3 linked regions of the Caenorhabditis elegans genome follow. The protein of the gene in region 1 purifies or fractionates together with the protein of each later gene. This does not show direct contact. Each region holds a gene or a part of one and is shown on either strand. Other genes may lie near its edges. The genes, in order: rmd-1, acp-6 and sams-4.

The links.
Region 2: the proteins of rmd-1 (region 1) and acp-6 fractionate together in Caenorhabditis elegans (co-fractionation; one large-scale study listed by BioGRID). This does not show direct contact.
Region 3: the proteins of rmd-1 (region 1) and sams-4 fractionate together in Caenorhabditis elegans (co-fractionation; one large-scale study listed by BioGRID). This does not show direct contact.

The regions. Positions count from the first base shown.
Region 1 is NC_003281.10:9,757,514-9,761,044, forward strand, and holds rmd-1 (Regulator of microtubule dynamics protein 1), read left to right. Parts: upstream 1-1,580; 5' UTR 1,581-1,637; coding exon 1,638-1,640; intron 1,641-2,030; coding exon 2,031-2,459; intron 2,460-2,516; coding exon 2,517-2,765; 3' UTR 2,766-2,871; downstream 2,872-3,531. Other genes in the region: vps-53 (Vacuolar protein sorting-associated protein 53 homolog), read right to left, coding at 1-1; gcc-2 (GRIP and coiled-coil domain-containing protein 2), read right to left, coding at 281-351, 836-1,052, 1,096-1,232, 1,300-1,351, 2,872-3,531. UniProt on the Caenorhabditis elegans protein: Acts in chromosome segregation and organization during mitosis.
Region 2 is NC_003282.8:6,424,459-6,428,213, forward strand, and holds acp-6 (Histidine phosphatase family protein), read right to left. Parts: upstream 1,682-3,755; 5' UTR 1,680-1,681; coding exon 1,485-1,679; intron 1,436-1,484; coding exon 1,301-1,435; exon of another isoform or gene 1,231-1,300; intron 1,217-1,230; coding exon 1,072-1,216; intron 1,024-1,071; coding exon 641-1,023; intron 562-640; coding exon 313-561; intron 264-312; coding exon 225-263; 3' UTR 142-224; downstream 1-141.
Region 3 is NC_003282.8:5,844,365-5,848,119, forward strand, and holds the start of sams-4 (putative S-adenosylmethionine synthase 4), read right to left. Parts: upstream 2,006-3,755; 5' UTR 1,972-2,005; coding exon 1,900-1,971; intron 1,675-1,899; coding exon 1,614-1,674; exon of another isoform or gene 1,241-1,613; coding exon 1,118-1,240; intron 1,017-1,117; coding exon 634-1,016; intron 583-633; coding exon 173-582; intron 130-172; coding exon 1-129. UniProt on the Caenorhabditis elegans protein: Catalyzes the formation of S-adenosylmethionine from methionine and ATP. The reaction comprises two steps that are both catalyzed by the same enzyme: formation of S-adenosylmethionine (AdoMet) and triphosphate, and subsequent hydrolysis of the triphosphate.

The sequences.
Region 1 (3,531 bases):
TCTGAATAGGACTTTTCTTGAGATTAAATTTATAATTTCAAAGATAAAATAGTATTTAAGAGCGCCAACAACGCATCTGATATTAAAAATAAATACATAATCCGAAAAACAAACCATACTCTGTTCATTAAAAGTAGTGAAGTCACACAATAAATCACCTATACATTGAAAGAATAATTATCACACACAAAAGAAACAAGAAATGGGCACCCGGTTGAGCATGCAATACATAATAAAAATAAAATTGTACAATCGAATATGTTATGAAAATCTGATAATTTCAAGTGGCAGCACCAGACCATCCCGAGAAGTATGAAGACCACGAGCCTGCCTGAGCGGTTGCCATATGTGCTGAAAAAAATAAATTCGAAAAAAAGTTGAACGATTAATCCGTAAGTATTTAGTAGTGGAGGTAGTAAATTCTATTTTGGAAAATTTTCGAAAATAAATAAATTTTTCTGAAACGCCGATTTAAAGGCGCACCGATTTATTAATGCCGATGGGTAACACCGCGATAAAAAAGTTTATGGTAGCAGCCCAATTTTTGATTTTTTGAGACTTATTTCCGAAAATTGAGAATTGTTTTACTTGTTTTTAAAGTTGTTTTCGTCTTCTCCACCTAAATAACGCCCAACTAGTAAAAACACTAAACCTTCGCGATGTTGAAATACTTTGAGAAGGCGGGACAATACTTTTGTTGATATTGTTCAATATTATTGCCTCTCTTCCGCCAGCCGTTGGCTATTGCAGAGAAATAGTTGTCCACCACAATCTCTTTCAGCGCTTTCTCTATTCCTCTTTTATCTGTTTTATAGCCTGCTCTGGGTGCTCTCACCTGATGCAGCTTTCAGAATTTCGACTTCTTTCGGTGACAAATGTAGAACTCTCTGCAGTACGATAACCAGCTGGTCTCGTTCTGCGGGAACACTTTCTGGCTTGAGAAACTGTACAAATACGTTCTTCAAATATTCCATATTTTTCTCGTTTGACAACTCGGCTTCTCGCTTTTCTTCTCGTTCCAGTCGGCGAATTTCATCTTTTAGCAGTGAATTCTAGAAATTTAAATATTGATTCTAAAACTTTTCCCAATTCTACCTGAGTTGTTAACCTTCCATTTGCAGTCTCGGCATCACTGAGAAGCTCTGCGACGTGATGATTTGTTTTCTTCAAATTCTCTAACTGGTCTAGAATGACCTTGAATTTCTCCTCCGATAGTTCATCTGATTCGACTCCTGCAAGTATTTCGAAATAAGTAACTTTTTAGAAAACAATCTTATTTATATAAAATATAAAACTAACTGTATTCATCACCGAGATCTCCATACAAAACATCCTCCAGTGACCGATCAGGCTGAAAAAAAAAACAGGTTTTTAAAAAGTAGTTTTCGTAGGAATGACGAACTTTCTGAGGCGCGTGGCACAATATTTTTTATATTATTTATCACTTTTTCTCAATGTTTCTCCAGAAAATTCGGTTTTGATCTCTGAATGTTCATTTTTGTTTTGTTGCGCGCGCGCGCGCGAGAAATTGACCCGCGTGTTTTTCCAAATTTGTCGAATATAAAAGAAGCGTTTTTCAGTCATTATCTTCTCGTCTGATATCTTTTATTCGACTACTTCTACTAACATCCCCAAAAATGGTGAGTTTTTTTTTGCTTTTCACTTCAACATTTCTTTAAAAACCGGCTAATTTTCACTGAAATCTCCCAATTTTTTCAACTTTTCCGCGCCGCTGTGACTTTTCCTTGATTATTGTTTTATTTTGGTGGTTTATCTCTTGTGATGACGTTTATTTCGATGTTTTAGGCCAGTAATGTGGCCTAAATAATCTAAATCAACGAAATAATATGAGATTAGATTCAATCTCCAACCGCAGCGACACGGAAAAGTTGCTAAAATTAAAGTTTTAGGTGAAATTTGTCACTTGTCGAATAGAATAATTTTTTTGAGTAATCTCATTACGAAATTTAGCACGTTTTTAATTCAAAACCTTCTTTTAATCGATTAATTTCAATTTCTTTTATTTTCAGGAATCCTTTGCCACCTCGGACAAACTCTTTGAAAGCCGCGAGTTCGTCAAAGGACTCGAGGAGCTGAAAAAGCGACGTGAAGATGGCGAGATGACTTGTGATCTTCTCTGGAGAATGTGCCGCTTCTGCCACGAACTTTCGACGACGATGAGCGGAGAGCAGCGACGAAAGATGCTGATCGAAGGACGCGACTACGGATTGGAAGCCATGGATCTTGATCCATCAAGCTTCCTTGCCGCTAAATGGACTGCCATCATGTTCGGACTTGTTGTCGATCAACTGCCAACTAAGGAGAAGATCAATGACGGTGGACGGCTCAAGGACATGCTCGACAAGGCTCTCGAATTGGATCCAACCGACTTTGCTCTTCTCCATCTTCGTGCTCGCTTCTCTTACACCATCGCGAACCTTTCATGGCTTGAAAGAAAAGTGAGTTTCTTATAATCTTTTGTCTTGAATTCTTCCGAATAACACTCTAATTTCCAGGCAGCTTCAATGCTCTACAGCGAAGTTCCAAAAGCAACGATCGACGACGCTCTCGTCGACTTCAAAGCCGCCTACAACCAAAACGCTGATTGGATCGAGAATTTGCTGTTCCTGTCGAAATGTCATCTTGCCAAGAAGGAGAAGCAGCAAGCACGTGAGATGCTGAACAAGGCGATCGTCTTACCTGCCGCTTCATCGAATGATGCTCAATTCGTCACGGAGTGCAAGTCTCTTCTCCAAAAATGCTAATTCGATCTATTTGACTACGGTTTCTTATTGATTCCTGCCCCCCTCTCTCCCCAATTAACTTCATATTTTGCATCAATGAATTTTTCTGTAAATAAAGAATTTTTACCTGTGTTGGCTCATCATAACAAGAAACAGAATCAGAAGGAGCAACTGCTGGTCTTTGATAATGAAGAGGTGGAATAGGATGTTCTGGAAGCTGAATCGGCTGAGGTACGACAGCTGCAATAGCTTTCTGCTGCTGGTGTTGATTGCTTTGAATTCGACGAGTTTCAAAGTCATTTCTCAACTCTTGTAATTCCTTTTCTAGACTGTGAATCTGCTTTGTTGCACTTGACAGCTTGCTTTTCAGACTTCCATTCTCATTTTCACTTCTTTGCCTCTCATTCTGCAGAAGATGATCTACTTTTTCCTTTGCGATCTCTATATCTTTAATCTTTTGTTCAGCAGTATCACGAGATGATCTCATTAATCTCAATTCTTCGTCCAATCTTTGAATCAACTTCGAAGAGCTCGACTGAAGTTCGTCAATTGCCGTAGTGTGAGCCTTTTCTGATTCGGTGAGTTCTGATTTGAGAACTTTTAGAGTTTTCTCAAGTCTTTCTGCTTTGTCACGTGAAGAAGCCAAATCTTCGACAGTTTTAAAATGCTCCTGCCTTGTCTGATCAGCTTGTTGTTCAAGTTCTGTGATAGTGACTTTTGATTTTTCGAGTTTTTCAATAGCTTTTCGTGTTTCGTCTTCCTGCTTTCCTTTTTTCTCGAGCACAAA
Region 2 (3,755 bases), on another chromosome or scaffold:
TTTTTGTTCTCCATGGAGCTTCACGTATCTTTTAAATAGAAAAAAAAACGATTTTCATCGCAAAAATAGTTCCAAATCGAGGTATACCCCTTTAATGAGCACAGTAACCCATTCTCCGTTATTTTGCAATTTTCATTGATTACTTTCGAATTATTTATTAAAAAGTAACTACATTAGTACATACGAAGCGAATCAAACGATTATTATAAATTCATGCAAAGAATCTAAGCCTTGTCGCATTGAGACTTCCAATCGGAGAAGGACTGAAAATGTTAATTTGTTACAATAATCTAACCTATTTTTCCAACTTACGAATTGTTTTGCATAGGCGAAGAATTGTTCCAATGGAATGAATCCATCCTTGTCAGCCAATTTCTTAAGTTTTGGAGTAAGTTCAGCTGGATAGATGACATGATCATCGATTGGGTTAGGATCATGGTTGAGAAGACGGACAGCTGGTTTTGGAAGACGTTTAAATTCAACTACGAATCCAGCGGAGGTGGTCAGTTCATCCTTCACGTATCCCATCAATTTCATGACGGAAAGAGTGATTTCGGTGTGCTGGAATTTGAAATTTGTATAATTTTTTCACAGGAAATAGAGGTTTCACATTAATATTGACAGGTTGTAAATAACTTACAGAAGCGTATCCAATAACTTGTGGTCCCTTTCCAGCGTTAGCATCAGCAACCTTATCAATCAAATTCTGAAGCCAATATCCAGCCATCAAGTTTCCGCATGGTCCGTACTCTGCACAAGCGTTCTGATGAACTTCAGCAAATTCCAGAATCTTAGCCTTCAGCTTCTCGAAAGTGTATCCTTTCAACTTTGGAGCCTTAATCCATGATGGATATTCAGCCTTGTAGAGATCAATTTCAATGAGATTATCGGCCAAATCAGCAGCTTTTCCCAGATTCTCCATGTTCCATTTGGTGTTGTCAGAGAAGTATTTGAGCTCAGCTGCGTTGCTTGTCTTGAGCTTCTTGAGGAATGGAAGGGAATCCTTGTCGATTGGGCCCCAGACTGTAAAATCAGGATTTATATGTTCACATTATACAAGTACAACCGTACCCTTATCATTTCCTTTGCATTCCTTAACAGCGTACATTCTAAGAAGTGGATCATCAATGGCATATGGGACTGGAGACCAATGATCGTACCATTTCTTATCCCAATCCCCCCATTGTTCTGGATCGTGGAGAGCAGCAGTGACAGTCTAAAAATTTACTGTTTCAATGTGGCAACTTATAGTTAGATAAATTTTGATTATTTTACTTTGAATTCGGAATTCGCCACATACCTGAAGAGTCATTTGGCATCTGTTGGCAGAACTGGAGTAATATTTAACTTGAGATGAGTTGTAGTTACGAGAGATCAAATTTCCAATAAAGCTTCTCAATTCCTTTCCCAATCCAAGTCCTTGACGCTTTCCGAACTGAAATATTACTAGATTTCATTTAGAAACTCCAATAATTAATACTTACTGAAGTCAATTCAGTATTTCCCTCATGTCCCCAGCTTCTTGGATTCTCTTGGAGAAAAACTTCTGGATGACGGTTTCCGTGACGAGTTCCGAACAGCACAAGAACCGAGTTCTTATCAATTGCAACAGACTTCTTTGGGAGAAGATGGGCGGCTGAAGTAGCCAAGATCAAGGCAGAAAATAGTAGAAGGTTCATACCTGAAAATATAATTTCTTTGTCTGAGGTGGCGTAAAATACAACGGTAAAGTTGAAGAAACATATCACTTTTTAATGAGAGCAAACCAAGAAGTATGAAAACTGATAAAGCTTCTCATGACTAGACTACCTACATGCCTATTCCACAAACGTTGCAGGTCCGCAAGAAGGCATTTACTGTTTAGACTAAAAGGTAGGAGATTGTAGAATGATAGATTCAGGTTGAAAAATACATATTCTGAGAGCTTTTCTAGACAAATTTAAAATTCTGGTAATCAGTTAATTACACAAGAACACTGAATTGCCAGTGAACTTCCATCTTACCCGGCGTTTATATACTGTTTTTGTTTTGTTTGAAACGATAACAAACTGATAAGATAACACGACAGAACACAATTCAATAAAATTGAATTAAAAGAAGATATGACCCGATTTGAAATAAAAAGTATCTTCAGGTGTTTTGTTACCGTTTCATTGAAACAGAATGAACAAAAAACCGTTAGTTGTTGGTCTAATAGAGAAACCATTAAACACGGAACTAATAATTTTATTAAAAAAATCTCAAATGAAATATCACGTTAGTTCAGAAGCCTGCGCCGGCCTCGTACCTTCCCGCGTGCTCAATGATCTGCGAACCCTTGCCGTACAACTTTGGTATTCGTCAGGTTCAACTGAAAGGCACAAGGCAGGCGCGATAGAAGTGGGCCTACAAATCAGTCACTATTTTTAAATTCAAGCTGTAAAATAATTACTTTAACATGCATCCATGGCACATTTTGGAAACTGTTACTAACAGAAAATTTCAAAATTTTACTTCTATCCTGAAACCGATCGAGCACTAGATGCTAACTTTATCTTAAAATTACCTTTTTTCAAGTTACAAAAAATAATTCTTTTAACTTTTCTATCTATGTACCTAGGATAGCAATACTTGAGTACTGTAAATCTAAATCACATGCTACCTAGTACGATCTTGTCATTAAAGGATTTCTCAAGGCCGTGACAAGAGACCAGACGTGACAATACCAAAATATCATGATAAAAATATAGATCACAAACAGAAAGGATGTTTGGATGTACGTTCTCAACATTTTGTGCCATTCTTTTATACTCTGTTAGGTACGACCAAACTTCAATTCAATTTGGCCTCGAAATTGTCATGGAAGGGAGAAATGAATTGAAAATGAGACAATTTTAAATGAATGAAAGAAAAAGATGAAATACACAAAACACATAGAAAACAGACAAACATGAAGAAGATCAATTGTTTATTTGAACTCAAAAACTCCATGTTTCACCATCTCATCTTCAATTCAATTTCTTCCAATTGAATACACCAATTACTCTTTTTTTCTCTGTTTCACAAAACCACAAAGATCGCGAGAAAACTTTAGTTCCGGTTTTTCTCCGAGAATCTGCGAGAGTTCAAGGTGAGTTCAAATGACCGTGAATTGCGCCGTGGCAATTTGAATTTCAATTAGACAGAATTTTTGAGACTTCATGAGCAGAAGGCTGAAGTAAAGTTTGCAGAGAATACGGTAGGATTTGTCTAGTATATATGCCTCCCGGGTTCCTATCGCGATGGCTCCATTGTGCTAATTGAGGCATTCGCGAGTTCGTAGGGCTCTAACATAATTTTCGGATCTTTGGTGCCTTCTGGAAGGGCTACACCAAAAGCTAATTGGAAGAATTACTACTGTAGAAAACTGTAGAAAATTTGGTTAAAATTACAAAGGGGCTAATGAAAAACACTTATTATTGGATAATTGTATTAAAATTGGGAAGGGCTGTTGTTTAGAAACGACTGACAAATATTGAAAATCAAGTAAACAAATTATTTCTTCTAGGCAGCCTACATCTGCCTCATGCCTATACACAAGAACATGTAAACCATTAGTTTCATCTCACAGTTTAATCTCTAACGAAATAATTTTAAAGATTTAATTTTAAAAATAAGAATAGTACTTCAAATCTGAATAAATCTACCTTGTCCAAACAGAAATGTTCACTCTAAACGGGATGAAGATTGTAGTAGGCACATATGTATGTAGGCAGGAAAACGTGCCTGTGTTCCAT
Region 3 (3,755 bases), on another chromosome or scaffold:
CCTTGTGATTTGGCGAGCATATCTGCACTGATTTTGAGGTTTCGAGGCTGCTCCCATGGGAAATTATTGTGTCCAAAGTGTCCGTTTTCAGCAGTTGGCTCGTAAATTGGTCTCTTCAAGTCAAGATTCCTGAAAACAGTAAAAATAGTGAAACATAAAAAAAAACGCTTACTTGATAATCTTTCCCGGTCTCAGATCGAAGTTATCATTCACAATGGTCAATAAATCCTCCTCGCTGAGAGCAGAAGTTCCAAATGAAAAGACCATCACAGAAAGAGGCTTAGCAACTCCGATGGCGTATGAAACTTGAACAAGGCAACGACGGCAAAGTCCAGCTTTGACAAGTGACTTGGCAACCCAACGAGCAGCATATGCGGCAGAACGATCGACTTTGGTTGGGTCCTTTCCAGAGAAAGCACCTCCTCCGTGAGCTCCCCATCCTCCGTAGGTATCAACGATGATCTTACGTCCAGTAAGTCCAGCATCTCCCATTGGTCCTCCAATAATGAATGATCCACATGGATTGAGATGATAGATGGTCTTGTCGTCGATGAGATTGGCAGGAATTACAGCTTTGATAACCTAAAACCGAACAATAAATATAGCTGTATTTTTATTAATATTTTTAATTACCTTTTCGATGAGTTCCTTTCTCAAATCATCGAGACTGATATCTGGAGAATGTTGGGTGGAGATAACAACAGTGTGGACGCGTAGTGGGACACATGCTCCTCCTTCCGAAGCATATTCGATTGTGACTTGGGTCTTCGAGTCCGGACGAACCCATTCGAGCTCTCCAGATCTACGGAGCTCGTGAAGCTTCCGGTTCAGCTTGTGAGACAAGAGAAGAGTCAATGGCATCGCTTCTTCGGTTTCATCAGTAGCATATCCAAACATAATTCCTTGATCTCCGGCTCCGACATCGTCACTATCCTTGTCCACGTGGACTCCAGCAGCGATTTCAGGTGATTGTTGTTCGAGTGCAACAAGAACATTGCATGTCTTGTAATCGAATCCTGAAAATGAATACTGTATTTAATCAATAAACCAAGAAAATGAGATTCCTGACACAATGTGATGAGCCAATAGTGTAGAAACGAAATTATATTCTTCATACCTTTCGAGGAATCATCGTATCCAATTTTCTTAATGACGTTTCGGACGAGAACCTGGTAGTCGACGACAGCTTTCGAGGTGATCTCACCGCACAACATGATCATACCCGTTTTAGTCACCGTTTCTGTAATCAAAGTAACCGTTGTAACAGGTAAAGAAACATATTGTTGCGATAAGCTTCAGCCCCGTTTCCCGCATCATCCAACACCCGTAGAGCCTGAAATCAGAGACATGAATAGGCGAAATGCAAAAGAACCACAGTGATAGGTACGAGTTCACTGTTGATCCTTCTGCAAATCAAATTCACAACACAAATATCAATATCATGTTAATTCTGAGGTTAACACGACGCGAGTGTATTGAATCTGACCGCCTGTCTTCCATATCGCCGAATCTCTGAATGTTGTACGGATAATAATTGGGACTTTTGCTCATCGCAGCTCCATGTTGTTGTTGACATTTCGTTGGAGGATATCCAAAAGTCCTGAATCACTCACCACAAGCAACCTTAGCGTGAGGGTCTTGAGCCAGATGAGCGTCAAGAACAGCGTCCGAGATCTGAAAAACAAACATGAGAATGATAGACAGCTGCTTTCGAGCACGTGGGCCAATTTTCTACGCTTCGGAGATAACGTTTTGTTTGAAACTATACACATTTTGTCCCATAACTAACTTTTTACGAACTTGACAGATTTTTTTTTTCAACAGTAGCGTATTTCCAATCAAAAAATTTGATGGATTTGTTTATCTGGAAAAGACGATTTCTTATCAAATATAACTTACTTGGTCACACATCTTGTCGGGATGCCCCTCGGAGACAGATTCGGAGGTGAAAAGGAACTTGTGTTGCGGCATTTTATTTCGTTGATGGATGTTTGAAAGCGTCCGTCTGAAAGAGCGATGATATTTAGCTCAAATAAATAAAGGAAAGCGAGGAAGCGGAGGTGGGTTGAATAGAGGGCGGAGCGCCACGCAACAAAGAGAGACACAATACTCTGCGTCTTGTTGGAAACACGTTGCTCTAAAGTATAGTTTTGAGGGCGTTTTTTAGATTGCAATAAAACACAATTTTTTTGCGAGACAAGTGTGAATATTAGCCCGGAAAGCTCTACTTTTATACCATGAAGGTTGAACCTAGATCATCAGAAAACTACAGAGATTTAGAGAAAAAGGGAGCGAGAATTTTCGAAAAAAGAAGGATCAAAACAATTCTAAGGGCAAACCGTTATCTAAGGATGAGGAATTATGAAACACGTGTTATTTGAAACACCACAATAATATTTATATAAATATACGATGTTTAGAAATAAGAACACTGAGGAAGTTTTACTGTCATATTTTTGAAGAACATAAATCGAGATAAGGAAAAATATATAAAAGTCTTAGAGAACAAGACAGGCGACGTTTACAATCTAGAAAAATAAATGTCTAAAACTTTCGAAATATGCGTTCGAAGATTGTACAGATGAACCGGGAACACGGACAAAAAATCTTCGGAATTGAAGTCTCGCTGAACCTTATTGAAAGCTTCAGCAGATAAAGACAACTCACTTACACTCTTCGACGATGAAACGGTCAATGTTTTTTTTAATGTTATGCACTCCGAGAAATTTTGATAAAATTTCACGTTTTCACGTGTGGATATAGCCGAGTTCACTATGTTATCACGTTTTTACTCAATTCTTTTTAAAAGTATTATTATTGCAACAAGATCATTCCCAGCCTATACTATTGTGCAGAACATCGTTTGCAAGAAAAAAAGCTGTCGAGAGGGCAAAATCGGCCTGAACAAAGTTATTGCAAAACTTTGACATACTTTTTTATGTTTGATCATACGATTTTCATCGCTCTCCTCAAATTCATATTTGTTTTTATTTCCTCTAACAGTGTAATTGTGCTAATGGATATATGATCATGAAACTATTCAATTTGCAGAAAATCAATAGACTTTGCCCTTTTGTAAAAGCGCAGAAGCTCAGTTTCCACAACATGAAAAAAGCAAATACTCTAGACTTTAGGAACGGATTATAGTAGCCATTATCAGTAATGTAAACTTTAAAAAGCAAAGGAATCAAGAAAACAGGTTCTAATTTAGAACAAATAGCAACTTGGTAAATAAGAATTGGCCTTGTACTTTTAAGTTTGTAGTCTCACTTGCTTTTTGTCATGGTGTTTTGCTCAATTATCGAGAAACTGTAAGAATGATGAAACTACTTCCAAAATGTTTAATCGTATTTAACAAACACGTGGGTTAAATAGAAAAATAAATTATATCTCAAATAGAACAGTGATTTTTCACTGAAAAAAACGGATTTTAAAGCCTTTTTAAACCTAATCAAGCAGAAAAAACAATTAATACGATATTCGATATTTTTCCGTAACTTTTCTTGTTAATTCCGATATCTAGGAATCTCATATCTCGATTATTTCGATCTATTCATGATAGGGGAAAGCTTTCAGATATTTCCAGTTTCTAATTAGCGAAACAGATCTAATCTAGAACATTTATCGCCATCCGTGAGACAGCTGTTAAATTCTAGTTTAAGGATCGGCTAAAATTCGAATAAAATGCGACGAAAATTCAAAAAAGCCAGCAGATTTATAGAAATTTGCATAGAAAATGAAGAAAATGGAAAAAA